4 linked regions of the Oryzias latipes genome follow. The protein of the gene in region 4 purifies or fractionates together with the protein of the main gene of each other region. This does not show direct contact. Links are inferred from orthologs where the notes say so. Each region holds a gene or a part of one and is shown on either strand. Other genes may lie near its edges. The genes, in order: cdk20, rfx3, tbc1d32 and foxj1.

Region 1 (4,100 bases), on a different chromosome or scaffold from region 4:
TTCAAGTCAACACCAAAGTCCAGCTGACTAAAGGGTATTCCCTTCTCAGACCAATGACAAGCCTGGACAGCCTCCGTCAGGTCCCTGAGTCTGTCACCTTCATGGTCTCAGTCAGGTCTGTGGTCTCAGGTTGCCGAACACACGCATGTTGTTTGCACATCTTCACTTCACCACTGAAGAACTTGGTTTCCGCGTGTTAATATATGTGTTGATGTGCTTACTGGGATAGCTTATACTGTGATTTAGATTCAGAACAAGGTACAGTAGACGTAGCAGACTTTTGTGAGCCAACGGCGGCTTTCTCATGATTTGGATCGATATCACAGCTTCGTGAAAGGTACAAGATAAAATAGGTCCCCAAAACCACCGACTAAACATTGAGGAAACTTGATGAAATGCGCGACATTCGTCGTTGCAGACCCGAACCCCACACGTCACATTGTGACAAACAATTCCAGTCTCAGTTGGGTCCATGTTCTCTGTGAGGTCATTGGTCCTTGTTCCAAGTAAGTTTGTTGGTTTCTAGCCTCAGCATGGTCTATTGGGTCATTGATGTCCGTTAGGTCCAAGTCTTTATCAGATACTTTTTTTTGTCAGGTCATTGGTCTCTATCAGTTCCCTGCTCTCTGCCAGATCAGTGCTTTTTGTCGTGTCCCAGTCTCTAGCAGATCCTTAGTCTCTGTCAAATCCTGTTTTGTTCTTTTCTCTGATGCTGTTCTGCTGTATAGAACAATTCAGTACTGTACAGTTGTGGCCAAAAGTTTTGAGAATGACAGAAATATTAGTTCTCACAAAGTTTGCTGCAACACTGCTTTAGATCTTTGTTTCAGTTTTTTTGCTGCTTAAGTTTTTATAATAGAAATTTGCATATAATCAAGAATGTTATGAGTGATTAGATGAATTGCATAGTCCTTCTTTGCCATGAAAATTAACATCATCCCAAAAAAACCTCCCACATTCTCAAAACCTTTGGCCATGACTGTACAGTCAGTTGGAGAATGACTCAAATCGTAGTTTTCACAGAGTTAGCTGCTAACCTGCATTTAGATCTTTGTTTCAGTTTTCTCTGTAATATAACTGAAATAGAATTACAAGCACTTCATACGCTTCAAAGGCTTTTATCAACAATGACATCAGTATTTGCAGTGTTGGCCCTTCTTTTTCAGAACCTCTGCAGTTCCAGTGGACATGCTCTCTATCAACTTCCTGACTGATAGTAACCCATTCTTTCAGAATCACTTCTTGGAGTTTGTCAGAATTAGTGGGTTTTTGTTTGTCCAACCGCCTCTTGAGGATTGACCAAAAGATCTGAGGAGTTTCCAGGCCATGGACCCACAATTTCAACGTTTTGGTCCCAGAGCCACTTAGTTATCACTTTAGCCTTATGGCCCGGTGCTCCATGGTTCTGGAAAATGCATGTTTGTCACCAAAATGTTGTTGGAAGAAGTTATTGTTGGAGGGTGTTTTGGTACTATTCTTTATTCATGGCTGTGTTTTGGGCTGAATTGTGAGTGAGCCCCCTCCCCTGGATGGGAAACAACCCCACACATGAATGGTCTCAGGATGCTTTACTGTTGGCGTCACACAGGACTGATGGTAGCGCTCACCTTTTCTGCAGATTCCCCAAGCAATCAGAAATGTTTTTGGAGAGAAGTGGCGTCTCTCCAAAAATGTTCTTTATGATCCTATAAATTGTTGATTTAGATGCAATCTTAGTTGCCACAATACCCTCCCCTTTGAATCAATTTTTATGCAATACAGTGATGGCTGCACACGTTTCTTTGCAGGTTACCATGGTTACCAATGGAAGATTAATGATTCCAGGCATCACCCTCCTTTTAACATGTCAAGTCTGCCATTCTAACCCCATCAGCCTGACAGAATGATCTCCAGCCTGGTGCTCGTCAACATTGTCACCTGAGTTAACAAGACGATGAATGAAATGATCTCAGCTGGTTCTTTAATGACACCAATGAAATGCCGTGGAAAGAGTTTTGGGGGATTAAGTTCATTTTTATGGCAAAGAAGGACTATGCAATTCATCTGATCATCATAACATTATGGAGTATATGCAAAATGCTATTATATGTATTTAAGCAGCAATTATTTTCCAATTTCCAACAATATTTACGTCATTCTCCAAACCTTTGACCACGACTGTACACACTCACGTGCTGGTTGTCCTCAATCTCCTGCAGAGCCTTGATCTCCCTCAGAGCCTGATTGGGAATGCCGTCCTCCAGCTTCCTCAGAGCCACCTTCTTTAGAGCCACAGTTTCCCCGGTCTGTCAGAAACACGTTCATCCATCAGCCTGAATGATCACCTGTTCAGGTGTCTGTTTTTTCTGCTCCATGAACATGTTTCACCTGCACGTGCTTGGCCTTAAACACGATTCCGTGAGCCCCTTCTCCAATCCGGCCTAGGATGCTGTACTGCTCCATGATCATCCAGGACCCCTGCAGCTGCAGCGGGGATCTTTATGGACTTGGACTTGTTCCTTTACTTAACGGTTTTTAGTCCACGGGTTTTAAGAGCGGGGCTCCGGCGCGTCCAACCAAAATAAGCACGACATTTTGAACGGAACGAGACCGGAAGTGGGCGCTGATGTTGCCTCGGTCACATCTGATAAATAAAACTACGAAACTTTAGTATATCGTTGAATATTTAGTATAGTGCTGGATATTTACTTGATGCGTAAAGCTGATGACATGTACGCGACACCAAATGTGCGCTGTCCTTTGGCACTTGACGAGATATTTTGAAAACGTTTCAACTATAGTCAACGCAGCTCTCCGCCATGTTTGTTGACAGTGACGTCATCACAGGACAATCCAAATCAACGAAAATAAAACAACGAAGAAGAATAAATAAAATTAGCACAACCAGCCATTAAACAAAAACATATATATTTTAAAATTCATATTCACATAAGGTTTAACCCGGGAATTAGTTTATGAATAATTGCCACGTTCTATATATCTGGTAGAATATGGAAGAATAAATGTAAGTGAAAATGACCAAATAACAACTGTTTGCACAAAGTGCTTTAAACATAAAAAGAAATTAAATGTTCTTTTTTCTGCTCCTCTTCTACGCTGAAACCTGGAAGTATCTTGTCGGAGTACTTCCGGTTCAGAATCTTGTTTAGATGACTGCATGTGGGGCTGTGAACTTCTTTACAAGTGTCTGAGCTGAACCGGCCCGCAGAGCCCCCGCATTAGCCCCCCATCCCCGATGACTCCGCCCACAGACGCCGGTTCTGACTCGAGGATGGAAGAGAAGGTCCTTCAGTATGAAAGATTCATCGAGGAAGTTCTGAGGAGAGACCTGCGGTAAGCCCCTCTGGGTTCTGCTCCGGTTCTGAAAGTCCCCCTCTGATGAAAATCATGTTTTGTGACATTGTGGTATTTGTCTTATGAAATACAACAAATGGAATTAGACATGGTTTCATTTTTGCATTTCTGAGTGTTTCTCCTTTTAAACCGCTGTCAATCAAACTGTCTCAAAGACGCTCTGTTTGAACTAATGCGGTGTTGTGACGTCACAAAGGCCCAGGGGAGTATTCCAGAAAGCAGGTTATGCACCCACTATTGGAGAAAAATTGCCCCAGATATTGAATGGAAGAAAGTTTGGACTTTGTCCTCTAAATATTTTATTTCAAATAAACCCCGGGATGTTTGTTTTAAACTTCTTCACAGATGCTACCCAGCCAAATCCTCATTACACATAGACATTGATAAAAATTGCTCCTTTTGTAAATTAGACACTGAAACAATTATACATCTTTTCTGGAAATGCCCCCCAACAGCAATTTTTTGGAAAGACCTTACCTCCTTTGTTCGATGTTAAATTTATGAAAAATTTGATTTGGTATACAAGGATATATTATTTGGTTTTTATAGTGTTAATAATTCACTAAGAAGGGAATACTATTTAATTAACCTTTTGATAATACTAGCCAAATTCCACATACATAAATGCAAATTTTCTGAAAAAAAGCCCTTATTCAAACTTTTTATGATTGAGTTGAACCAATATATCAAAGCAATAAAACATTCTTCCAACCCCAAAGCTATAAGAACCTTTGACACCCTGGAAT
Region 2 (4,101 bases), on a different chromosome or scaffold from region 4:
AGGTCCTCTTGGTTTATCAGGGAGACAAGTGCGACTCCACCTTTCAAATCTTAAAAAACCTCCTCAGAACCCAAACATTGGTGGATTTCGTTTAGGATCGTCTCCCAGCCTTTCCTGTTATTTGAACGAATCGTGCAAATTTCTATTGTTAGAAATGTCAAAACATCCCAGAGCCGTCTAATCTACGGCCCCTGAAAGCTAGTTTCATTTCATGGCAACAGTTTCCAACTGTATGGTTTGCTAAACCCCATCTCTTAACTTTTGAACTGTTCTCTTGACACACATCCATCTGTCAGGCGATGAAATACTAGGACTCCTCTCCAGCAGGGGTTTGCTGTATTGTATAACAAGCAAACCAGCTGTGATTGCCTGTGCACAGATTTGCATCTGTGTTGTGCCAAACTATTTTCAGTCATTCAACTCGCTTTAATTACATTTATGTTTTTCAATTAAATCCATTTTATTTCCTACGTTCTTTTATTTTCGTTTGCTGCAACCTTAGATTTAATATAATGCATAGCCTTTGCACATTTACGGTACACACACACACACGCACAGACAAATCGCAATATGGATTTGGCTTTTTTAATCTGAACTCTACAGCCGCAGTTCTATGCAAGGACTTAAATTATTTAAAGACTGCTGCAGCTGTTACACAATTGTTCTAATTTTAATTTGTTTGTTGCTGCAGCTGACATTTAATATACCTAATTTGCAACAGGGGACTGACTCATTTTGATTGAACTCTATATTTTGACAGTATGAGTATGACTATTACTCACTCAATGAAGTAAACCAGATCTAAAAAGAGAAAATAGTTTTGTTTTTTTTGCGTAAAGAAGATTTTTGCAATAAAATAATTGTTTGGTTGTCACAAGAACATTGAGAGTATATAAATCTAGCATTACAATTTTTTTCAATCTGTACGAATTTCCACCTGCTGAGCACAGTGCATCAAAAATGAACACAAAGGAAAGCAAGTTAATAATGACGATTGGCCAGCACTGGTTTTAGCTAAAAACTCAATGTAGCGAATCAAGGAAAGCACTGAAAGTCATCTCTTGGCACGGTGGTGGTAGGATGATAATTTAGGTGTGTTTGGAGTTTAGATCTTGCAGCCAATGAGTCATTTATAAATTTTTCCTTGTGCCAAAATATAATCGTTTAACAAAACATCCTTTATCAGTAGCTAAAGCTGTTAAACTGCCTTATGCAACAGGTCAAACACACCAACAAAACTACAACAGCTGAATAAATAATTGGCTTAAACAAAAAACTTAAGGATGGAAAGAAAAGAAAAAACTTTTTACAGATGGTCTTAAGACAGGTGACGAAGTAGCACTGCTACTACCTCTGTCACAACCAGAATTCACCCTTGTGTGTTTTTTTTTTATTGCAACTCACACACACAGACAAAGATACACAAACCCATGCACACCTGTTCCCTCTCCTAATGGGAAGGAGAGGCTGCAGGGGAGCGGGAGACCAAGTGGACCCAGGAGTAAATGTGATGCAACACTTAGAAACTTAACATGGAAAAAAAAAACGACTGGAGGATCATGGGGTCTCCCCAGTTTTTAGTTTTTATTCTGTTTAATGGCAGAAATTGAAACAGCAAATTGGTGTGTTTAATTATAGTTAGAAAATATGAATAAACACACTGAAAAAAACCAACATTTTTTCTGAAAATAAAACAACTTTTTCTTTTTTATTAACCAATACATTTTTTTGAGTAAATATTGTGAAAAAAAGCACAGAGCTAGTATTTAGAACATCCTGTATTACCTCAAATATTGAAATACATTAATATAAATCTGATTGTGTAGTAACTGATCCCTACAGAACTGATGTTATCGCGTTCTTATCATTATTACCAGTTGATCCCACAAAGAGCACAGATGGAGAGCTAACGCCGCGATCTTGCTCCCTAAGACAAAAGGGAAAGTAAAGGCTCAGCTATTGTGAACCTATTAGAGAGTGAAAGCCCAGCGAGCACACACCACTTTCCTTTGCTAATCGACGAACAGATTTCTTAGCGGCAAAAAACGCTGAATCACCCGACGCGGAAACACACAACCCGACCGTAACATTTACCCGAAAATGGGACAGCAACAGACATCGCTGGCGTTAGCAACCTAGCAACAACAGACACCTGCTCCAGCTGACCAGTTAGCATCACTGGCTAGCCTTTGCGACCACTCAGCATGGCAACTTCAGACCAATTCTCTGCGAATAAAAGCTCGTTTTTTAGAACAAAATGGAGTCGGGCCGGTCCGTAAAGCTTTGTAAAAGGCTACACAGCCGGTTTCTGTTGGCGACCAGGACGCCTCGCCTCAGTTAGTATCCACAGGCAACGTTAGCACGCAGGCTAACACGTTACAAAGAAACACCCTCGCTAGCAAAACTACCACAGCTACCCAGCGAGCCTTCATCCAACAGCAGACAAAACGCAAACCAACAGCATCAAACCCCCCCTGATAAAATTCATATCCTGTGACGCCGAGGAGCATCTTACATTTATGCTAAAAATAGTCAAGGATTTAAATCAAACCTGAGCCGTGGACTGGTTGATGAAGATGAGGATGATGGAGGAGGTGGTAATGATGGAGCGAGAGGTTGTTGTTGGTGGGTTACAGTCGCCAGGACTACGGTGACTATGGCGCTGCCTCACCGGGCAACAGTTGCTATAAAACTCACCGGCAGCGCGCAACCTTAGGTGGGAGGAGCGCGCGGCGATACCTACGGCAAAAATCAAAAAGGAATAAAACGATTTCAACCATCGATGAATTGATTGGACTGCTTCTCTTTCGGCTTTTGTCTTTCTTTTCTTTCCTTTTTTCGGGGGGCATGTACAGATAAATTCCCCGATATTTTTCTCTCTCAATCAAATTACTTCGAAGTCTTGACTTAAATAATACAAAAATAAATAAAATGTATTTAGCCATTACTTTGTTTTCCATGTTATTACAATGTTGTGGTTGTTTTACACTGCAGTATATTTATCAAAAATTGCATTGCAATTGATAAATCGTGTATACTTCTGTATCATATTTAATTTAAAGGTGAGAAATTATATATTTTCATGCACTCAGTTGGAATTTATATATATATATATATATATATATAGGTTTGGGAAATAAAAGTAAAAGAACATACAAATCTATGTACATCCACTTGTAAATGATGTCCTTATAATTACTCTTAATCATAAATAGACATGATTGTACCTATACAATACATAACCCATCAAATCCATTTAATGTGAAGTTTCTCAAAATGAATTAAATTATTTGCTTAGAAAGGAATGTGCGGAAGTCAAATTTTATAATCCCACCCCTATTATGCTCATGTTGTTGATTAATAACTTTATTATTATTATTATTATTATTATTTGCTTAATTATCGATGTTCTTTTGACAAATATTAATGCATTCAATAATTTAATGTACTCAATTTATTTGTATGTATGTTACTATATTTATCATTTAAATATTATTTTCAGCACTTGCAGACAAATGGTGTCCTTCTTTTGAACTAAACTCGGGTGCAAAAGGTGAAACTATTTCATCAAACCAGGTTTTTTAAAGGAAGAACAATGTTAAAACAAAGCAGGCATTGGCTTCTGCTGGACACAAAGCCTAACAAACCACCTGTATCCAACACACCGCCTTTCTTTTTATTTGTATTTGATTAGCAGTTAGTAACTGCCAGTTACTAAACAGACGCTTTTTTGGTAAAGCTGTTATTCCCGTTGCTAGGCAACTAGCAAAACCTCCATCTGAAGCACAACACTCTTATAAAAAAAAGATGTTTCAAGTAAAATTGTTTGTTCTTCTAGTTTCAGAGGAGAAAGACACAGTTAAGGAACACTATAATTTAGGATTATTTGGTGTCTTAAATGTTAAAAACCATTAACATCTTTATATCATAATCTAATAATAAAGTGCTTTCAAACTTATATTATTGTCCTTATTGTAGTCACACTCATTTTCTATACAAACTTTGTGCTTTTCTTGTTGATAAATTAAAAAAAAAAACCCAGTACAACCACTAAAACTCTGTTCTATTTACACCAGGAAAATTCAGATTATTGCTGAACCT
Region 3 (3,563 bases), on a different chromosome or scaffold from region 4:
ACATAACATGCAACAAAGCCTCTGTGCTGAAATCCTTGACATGAACTCACTTCTCAGGGTGACGAATCCAGAAGGAAGCCACCTCCTTCTGGAAGTCATTAATCAATCGCATCTGAAATGCACAAAGCAAAATAATTAGAAAAACTCTTCTGAAACGACCTTTAGTTGAGCTGAAAAGAAAGTACCTGCTTGAGAAGGCGGGTTATCTTAGGAGTGTTGATGTCGAGGGTTGCTGAGCCGCTTGGGAAGTTCAGCTTGTGAGACACAAAACTGGATTCTACATTTTTAGCTGTTAAGAAAAAAGCATATCGACACCAATTAATGTCATGAAACTGATAAATTCTTTAACTTATTTGTAAAATAAATGATTTTCAGTTTTTTCCACAAAGTAGTTTAAAAAAATCTACCAAAGGAACGAGGATATAAAGCAGAATTTAACAGATCGTCTTTCTTCAACTTTTAGTTGTTATTTTTTATTTTATTTTATATACAGCTTGTGTCTGTAAAATTGCTCTCTCCCATTGACCGTGCTTCTCCCCCTATCTCTAAGGCAGCGCCCAGCCACCCTAAGGGTGTTCTCTGGCTCAGCTCTCTTGACCATAATGGGCCGGTACGGCGACTGCATAACGGCAGATGCCGCACCAATCTGCCTGTCAATCTCACGCTCCAATCTTCCCTCACTTGGGTTCAAGACCCCAATATACTCCTCCACCTGGGGAAGGGACACTGCGCCCATTTAGACAGGACAACATCATCTGCAAAGAGGAGAAAGGAAATCCTGTGGTCCCCAAACCGGACCTCCTCCGGCCCCTGGTTGTGCCTAAAAATTCTGTGCTCAAAGGGCAGCACTGCCAGAGTCCAACATGCAACGGTAACGGGTCCAACTTACTGCCGGCTATGCAAACCACTGGACAGCCCTCAGTAAGGCTCCACGGATCCCATCCTCCACAGGAAACCACAGGGGACCCGGTTGAACACCTTCTTCAAATCCACAAACACATATGGACTGGATAAGTGAACTCCCACAAACCCTCCAGCACTCTAAAAAGGGTTAGGGCCGGTCCACTGTTCCACAACCAGGACAGAAACCGGACTGTTGTTCCTGGATCTGAGGTTCAACTATCGGATGGACTCTCCTCTCAGGGTACCCTGGCATAGACTTTCCATTGTGATTCCCCGGGAGCTGGAACACCCCCCCATTGAAAAGGGGGTCGCTGAGACACCTGCCTTCAACTGCCACACAAACCACATTGGACAGGCCCCTACAGGTGTTTGGCCCACATGACTGTAATCCCCAGTCCTGGCTCTGGAGTGGGGCTTCAGTGAAGCCAATCCTGGCGACATAGCAAAATCTTTGTTTGTACTTCTCATCAAGCGGGTTCTGAACAGCTCTTTGTCTGGCTCGTCACCCAGGACCTGTCTGTCTGCAAAATCTCTAGACAGTTTAGCTCCTGGGATGACTAAAGCTCTTCAACCCCTCCACCACATTAAGGTGGCGGTTCAATGATGAAGAAAATACATTTTGTTAAAAAAAACAGTCATATCTCTATTTACATTTCCTACCTAAACTGGCGAACATCTCTCTGGTGACATTGAGTGGAGAGCAGGAGAAGCTTTTAGCAAAAAACTGCAACGCCTCTTCCTGACAGGGACAGGAGAAAAAGAGACCTTTATTCCTGCAGTGGCGGAAGGAAATGTGGGTGTGTGGGACAGCGGGGGGACATGAGGTTAGGACTCACACTGAGCTCGGCCTCGTTCAGAGCCAAAGAGAGGTTCCTGCGCAGGGTACTCCAGCTCTCGCAGCTCAACAGATCAGGCAGAGACGCACGGCAGAGGACGTGCAACGCCTCCCGACGCATCTACACACACATTCAAACAGATCCCAGCTTGAATGAATTTTAAGATGATCGGGGGCGATGGGTGTGGCCGAAATCTCCAAAATGTGACTGTCTAAACCTGGTTTAAGAGATCTACTCTTTGTAGGGGTGTAACCATGAATCGATTTATTTTCCTATGATCCAACCAGATCAATCTGTCTGAGGCAAGCTGTCAATCAAATTGACCTAAACCAGGGGTGTCAAAGAGGGCCGGATTTAGTGAAGTGAAACTGTATGTGGGCTAGGGCTGCACGATATGAAGAAAACCCGCGATATGCGATATTAGAAATTAATATTGCGATAACGATATAATTTGCGGTATATAAACAATTAGCAAAACAACCAAAAATATTATTCCCATTCCATTACAACAGCTTAAAAATTATACTACAAATGACCCTTGTTGACATAGGAGGCGAACATACAACATAATAGAGCGCCATCCGATTAGTTAACAACGTGAAGGGGTCCATCTGATTGGTCAAATGCAGAAAGGGATTCTTTCAATCCATTAAACACTTCAAGCTGCCATAAGACTGTTTGGCCACATCTAAGGTAACCATTTATTGCAAATTTGCTGTCTTTTGCGATATGCATATTGCACAGCTTGATATTGCGATAAAGATAAATTTGCGGTATATTGTTCAGGCCTACTGGGGGCCAACCCTTTGGCCTGCATTCTTGAACTTTTTAATAAGGTTAAGTGCAAATGAACAGTTTAATGAACATTGCTGGGCAGCACATATGCATATTTAAAATGATCATAGCTTGGTAAATATTCTGCCAAGAGCTCTGAAAATTAATGCATGAAGTTATTATTGTTTCTTGAAGGTGGATAAATGAAAGCACAGAGAACAGGTTCCACTAAAAAGAATTTAAATAACTGCAGCTCAAAAGAGGAGTATGTGTTTGTGGAAAGAAGGCAAAAACTTCAGTTAAAAAACAGAATCTGAATCTGTATTGTGTAGCTCTGAGTTCTGACAGGCTGAGCACAGCTAAAACATACATAGAACAGATGGGAAACAACCATGGTGGTGAATGTGAAAGCCTCAGGTTGGGTACCTCTTTGGGCTTGCCGGGCTCAAGTCTTTCAGCTAGAAGCTGGAGCTCCTCCTGCGTGATGAAGGTGTAGCTCTGGAAAAGATCAAGAGGAGAGTCTCAGAGAGAGAAAACAACCCCATTCCAGAATCAAACCCCCCTCGTGTCTTGTTCCTCTGACCTGGTTGAAGGAGGAGTCGCTGTCGGAGCAGCTGTCTGTGAAGTGGCTGCTGTGCTGGCTGTGCTCCCTCTCTCTGTGCGTCTCCTCTTTTCTCAGCTGGCTCTCCTTGTATTTGTTGGTTAAACACTCCACAACAGAGCTCAGTGAGGTTTTCAAGGTCTGCATCATCTGCTGATACCTGGTTCAAGAAGAAAAAAACGGATTATCTGAAAGTCCACCATAGCTTTTCTTGAAATTCTGTTGATGAACTTTTATTCTTTTTAAATACCGGTATGTCTATTTCTAATGCAGCCTGAGTCCTTTTATGTTGTCTTGTTCAGCAAACAATAACTGTAAAGTAAACTCCTTCTTAAGATGACAGAAGAACATAAAACATAAAAAAGAACATTTAAATTTTATATAATCACAGTCAGACAGACTTGGTTTTAGCACGATCCATTTTAAGTAATTTTTTTGTTTAATTTCTG
Region 4 (4,206 bases):
AAATGTTGTTTTCCACTAAAAACAATTTTATGATGCATGAGTGGATTTGATCAACATCTTGCCTAAGACAGATCAATCTGGTTGGATAAACTGACCACGTCCATTAATCATTACACCCCAACCATCTAATATTTTAATGACTTTGGGTCAAAACGCTGAAGGTGAAGTTCTAAAGCAGGTCCGCTTTAGCAGAAGCAACAACAGGTGAGTTTCTCCTCCAAACAATCTTTTCTTTCTTGGAAGAACAGAGGAGAAAGCTGAAGAGGAGGAGAGTCCAGATGTTTGGTGAACTTTGGCGCCCTCTTGTGTTCATCAACAACATCTGCTAACAAACCCATTTTCCTGAAACATTTTGGAATCTTTCTCTGCGCTTTTTTTTTTACCACAGTGTCATCATCTCATCTCTCTCGGCATTGGTGGGTCAAACATCCTCAGAAGAAAGATTTAAGATGATTCCTCAGACTTTGATGGCAGACGGCAGACAGACTTTTTCATCTTTTTTCACTCTCTTTCTCCTGTTATTCTGTCTTTAGAAACACCGGACTTTACTTTCCGAGGTCATTTATTCGTAGAATGATTTCGGCCTTAAGTTCTCCTATTTTTCTTCATTCAGGAAGCATATCTTCTGTCATTTAGAAAGTAAAGGTTTGATATTTGTTTGAGTTGATTCTTTTATTTTGGAGGAGGAGGCTGAGTGAGGAGCAGCCGTGGGCATCATCAGGCTGTGTCCACAGCTGTCAGCAGCACACGGCGCTCCTCGTCAGGCCCACAGGGAGCAGGAGGCCTTTTATTGCTTTACAGTGGCTTTGTGAGGAGCCTCAGGAAACCACTCAGCCACACTAATAGAACGTTAGATGAGCCAAACCTTTTTTGTTTGGCCTTTCTCTGCCTTTTCTGTCTTATGAACAAAAGTGCATTCCTTCGCACTCGCCTCCTCCTGAAACATCCAACGGAGAGGCTCGTTAAAACCTCCAGGCCAGAGCTGGACAGAACCTGCAGCGAGGAAAGTCATCTTTGTCTTTTAGCGCCATCAGGAACTGTTCAACTTTTGTTTTATTGTTATTTAGCTTTGTCTTCCTCCTGCAGGGGCCGGGCTTCTCTGAAAGACAGAAAATGAGAAGAACAAAAATGACCTTTAATAGTTTGTCATCTAGTAAAAAAAATCCATGCGGTTAAAAAGATAATAATTTGGTAAAAAACCTGTTGGAGGCGTCAGAAGTGACGAAATTAAGACAAAAAAGTTCTACTGCGATAAATTAAACTGAACAGTTTTACTAATTTAAAAAGAGAAAATTCAAGGATTTTAATAGAAAACCATCTTTCCAATTAATTTTCCAATATTTATTTTATTTTAATTTTTTTATTTTACTCTCCATCTTTTATTAAAAAATAAAATAACATTAAAAAAGAAGAAGTGTAGATCCTCTAGGATGGCCCCGCGGGGCCCCGGGCCTCACTCTGAGGACCTCCAGCCTCGGCTGACTTTAGGGTGATTAAAAATGAAGCTCCATGGCAACCAGCCGGCCAATGGGGGCGCTTGAAGCTGTTTACAGGGGGAGTGTATCGTTTCTATGGCTCCCGGACAAACCTCCTGCACCAGGTATTAAACTGTCCCCCCCCCGGCGGAGCCCGCTGACACCCGCGCGGAGAGGAGGACGAGCAGCGCAGGAGAGCACGGATCCTGTTCTCGGTCGAGGACGCGCGTGCAGGCGGCAGATGCGCGGTGCGCAGACCGAGGATCGCCGAGCGCAGCCGGTTTAGAATTTAAAGGTTTTTGAGAGAAAACAGCAGTTCCGAGGTGAGTGTGACTGTTAGAATGATCCAAAAGTGATCAGAAGGGACAACTCCAGCTGACTAATTACATTTATTTAAAATCGGTTCCTTGAACACGATCCAACGGTTTTATTTCGTTTGCAATATTAACCTCACTGTCTAAACACACAAACATGGATTTTAGGCACAACAGTTTCTACAATATGAAAGAAAATATACTCTCTCTATATATAATATTTTTAATATAACATTTATCACTGTTAACAATTTTAAAGGTTTTTTTAAACGTCTTTTACGCCTCGTGATCATTAAGAGTTCGGAGAGGAGGCCGTTCTGCGTCATTACGCATGAGGTCCACAGGAAAGTTCTGGTGTTAAAGAAAAAGAACCATTAAAGTTTAATGCGGTTTTAGCTCAAATTTCCTGCTTTATTCGGGAACATTTAAAAAAGAACCGCAGTGTTTTTGCCCAAACTGCTTCTGTTTTCTCATCTGCGCCGTGCTGGAGCTGATGTTAATGTTGGTCTTGTCAGGCGGTGGCAGGGGGGGAAGGATAGAGCGATGCTGTCACTCAGCTGCGCGGACCCCTGGCCCGAAGGCTCGGTGGTGCTGGAGGAGGAGGTGGTGACCGCCGCGGCGCAGGCGGAGGAGCGGGACGCCGCCGGGAGCTGCAGCAGCAGCAGCAGCAGCAGCAGCAGCAGCAGCAGCAGCAGCAGCAGCTGGTGCGGCTCCGACAACCTGGATGACAGCCTGACCAGCCTGCAGTGGCTGCAGGACTTCTCCATCCTCGGCGCCAACGTTCCGCAGCACGCGCACCAGCAGCCCCACTTTTTCGGACAGCAGCTGGGGTTGGACGCGCCCGCTTCCCCCCTGGCCGGGGACCCCGCGTCCATGGGGATGCCCCTGACCCCGGGGAAGCCCACGGCCGCGTCCTACAGCAGGATCCAGCCCGGCGTCGTGGCGCGCGGACTGACGCCGGACGGCGCGGATTACCGGAACAACGCGCGCGTCAAGCCGCCGTTCTCCTACGCCACCCTGATCTGCATGGCGATGCAGGCCAGCAAGAAGAGCAAGATCACGCTGTCCTGCATCTACAAGTGGATCACAGACAACTTCTGCTACTACCGCCACGCGGACCCCACCTGGCAGGTACACCGGCACGTGCATGCACAGCAGGAAACGCGCGCGCCCCTCAGATGGTGTGACATTGAGTCTGTGCGCGAGACTTGAGGCAGAGTGAGCCTGCAGGTGTTAGGCTATATCACACTATTTTGTTTTTGGTTTGATTATTTGGAGTTTGGAGGAGAAGAATTCCCGTCAGGAATGTTCCAGAAAAGTTTAATTTTCTTGGATAAATGATTGATGAAGCCGTTAGCTGTTCTGTGGGACTCAGACACTTAAGAGCATTTTGTTATTGTAAGTCTGAACACGGGGCAGATAATATTTAACAGAGGTCGGCAGCTCACGGCTCTGTTTGGACTTCAGGGAGGAGGGCCAGCAGGATGGGGGGGGGGGGCACAGAGATGCTAATAGGATGCAGGCAGACAGGTTCAGAGGGGGACTCTCACTCAGAACATCTTGTGTGTTTCAGAACTCCATCCGACACAACCTGTCGCTCAACAAGTGCTTCATCAAAGTCCCCCGGCAGAAGGACGAGCCGGGCAAAGGGGGCTTCTGGAAGATCGACCCGCAGTACGCCGAACACCTCCTCAGCGGTTCCCACAAGAAGAGGCGGATGCCCCCGGTCCAGATCAACCCCGCCCTGCAGAGCAGACTCCACATCCACCTGCAGCCACGCTCCAGCACCCCCTGCCCCCTGGCGGACGGCCTGGACTTCAACCCACATGCCCCGAGCCTCATGCAGGGGTTGGAGGAGGTGACCGGTGCCGACCAGAGCTGGAACCCCCGTCTGGCCGAGGGGACGATGCTGGGGGCCTGGCCGGTGGTGAGGGGAAGAAGAGGGAAAAAGAGGAAAAATCCGTTTGGATCCAGGAATGGCGGCACCAGAGGGTTCCGGGGCTCCAGCTCCCCCCTCCTCTGTGGGGAGGAGCAGAAGCAGGTGGGACCTCTGGAGGGCGACTTCGACTGGGATGCCCTGCTGGACTCAGCGCTCAGCGGGGAGCTCAGCCTGGATGAAGAGGGGCCTCTGAGCCCCATCCTGAAAGAAGAGGCCCTGACAGCGAGGGGGGGCCAGGTTGCAGCCGGCGAAGCTCCGGCAGGAACGACGGCCGATCAAAGGAGTAATGTGCCTGACTTTGACGAGGAGACCCTTCTCGCCACAGCCTTCCTGGAGACTCCCTGGCCAGGAGAAGAAGAGGAGGAGCAAAGTCAGGCCAACTTCCTCTGTAACTCCAATCTGGATCAGCTGTTCGACCTGGGAGACTCTTTACATGGAGATCCCAGCGGCCAGATGGACCCCCTCCTCTGAGGAATAA

The links.
Region 1: the proteins of foxj1 (region 4) and cdk20 purify together in Homo sapiens (affinity purification with mass spectrometry; 3 studies listed by BioGRID and IntAct, counting the BioPlex papers as one, with this or other methods). This does not show direct contact. The link is inferred for Oryzias latipes from reciprocal best matches to the Homo sapiens genes FOXJ1 and CDK20.
Region 2: the proteins of foxj1 (region 4) and rfx3 purify together in Homo sapiens (affinity purification with mass spectrometry; 3 studies listed by BioGRID and IntAct, counting the BioPlex papers as one, with this or other methods). This does not show direct contact. The link is inferred for Oryzias latipes from reciprocal best matches to the Homo sapiens genes FOXJ1 and RFX3.
Region 3: the proteins of foxj1 (region 4) and tbc1d32 purify together in Homo sapiens (affinity purification with mass spectrometry; 3 studies listed by BioGRID and IntAct, counting the BioPlex papers as one, with this or other methods). This does not show direct contact. The link is inferred for Oryzias latipes from reciprocal best matches to the Homo sapiens genes FOXJ1 and TBC1D32.

Annotation. Positions count from the first base shown.
Region 1 is NC_019865.2:33,767,756-33,771,855, reverse strand, and holds the start of cdk20 (cyclin-dependent kinase 20), read right to left. Parts: upstream 2,831-4,100; 5' UTR 2,449-2,830; coding exon 2,368-2,448; intron 2,286-2,367; coding exon 2,172-2,285; intron 1-2,171. Other genes in the region: protein UXT, read left to right, coding at 3,236-3,333. UniProt on the Homo sapiens protein: Required for high-level Shh responses in the developing neural tube.
Region 2 is NC_019870.2:13,046,837-13,050,937, forward strand, and holds the start of rfx3 (transcription factor RFX3), read right to left. Parts: upstream 2,862-4,101; 5' UTR 2,552-2,861; intron 1-2,551. UniProt on the Homo sapiens protein: Transcription factor required for ciliogenesis and islet cell differentiation during endocrine pancreas development. Essential for the differentiation of nodal monocilia and left-right asymmetry specification during embryogenesis.
Region 3 is NC_019882.2:17,649,857-17,653,419, reverse strand, and holds part of tbc1d32 (protein broad-minded), read right to left. Parts: intron 3,275-3,563; coding exon 3,097-3,274; intron 3,012-3,096; coding exon 2,940-3,011; intron 1,860-2,939; coding exon 1,740-1,859; intron 1,643-1,739; coding exon 1,564-1,642; intron 290-1,563; coding exon 186-289; intron 113-185; coding exon 51-112; intron 1-50.
Region 4 is NC_019866.2:2,710,985-2,715,190, forward strand, and holds the start of foxj1 (forkhead box protein J1), read left to right. Parts: upstream 1-1,366; 5' UTR 1,367-1,798; intron 1,799-2,304; 5' UTR 2,305-2,332; coding exon 2,333-2,920; intron 2,921-3,362; coding exon 3,363-4,199; 3' UTR 4,200-4,206. UniProt on the Homo sapiens protein: Transcription factor specifically required for the formation of motile cilia. Acts by activating transcription of genes that mediate assembly of motile cilia, such as CFAP157.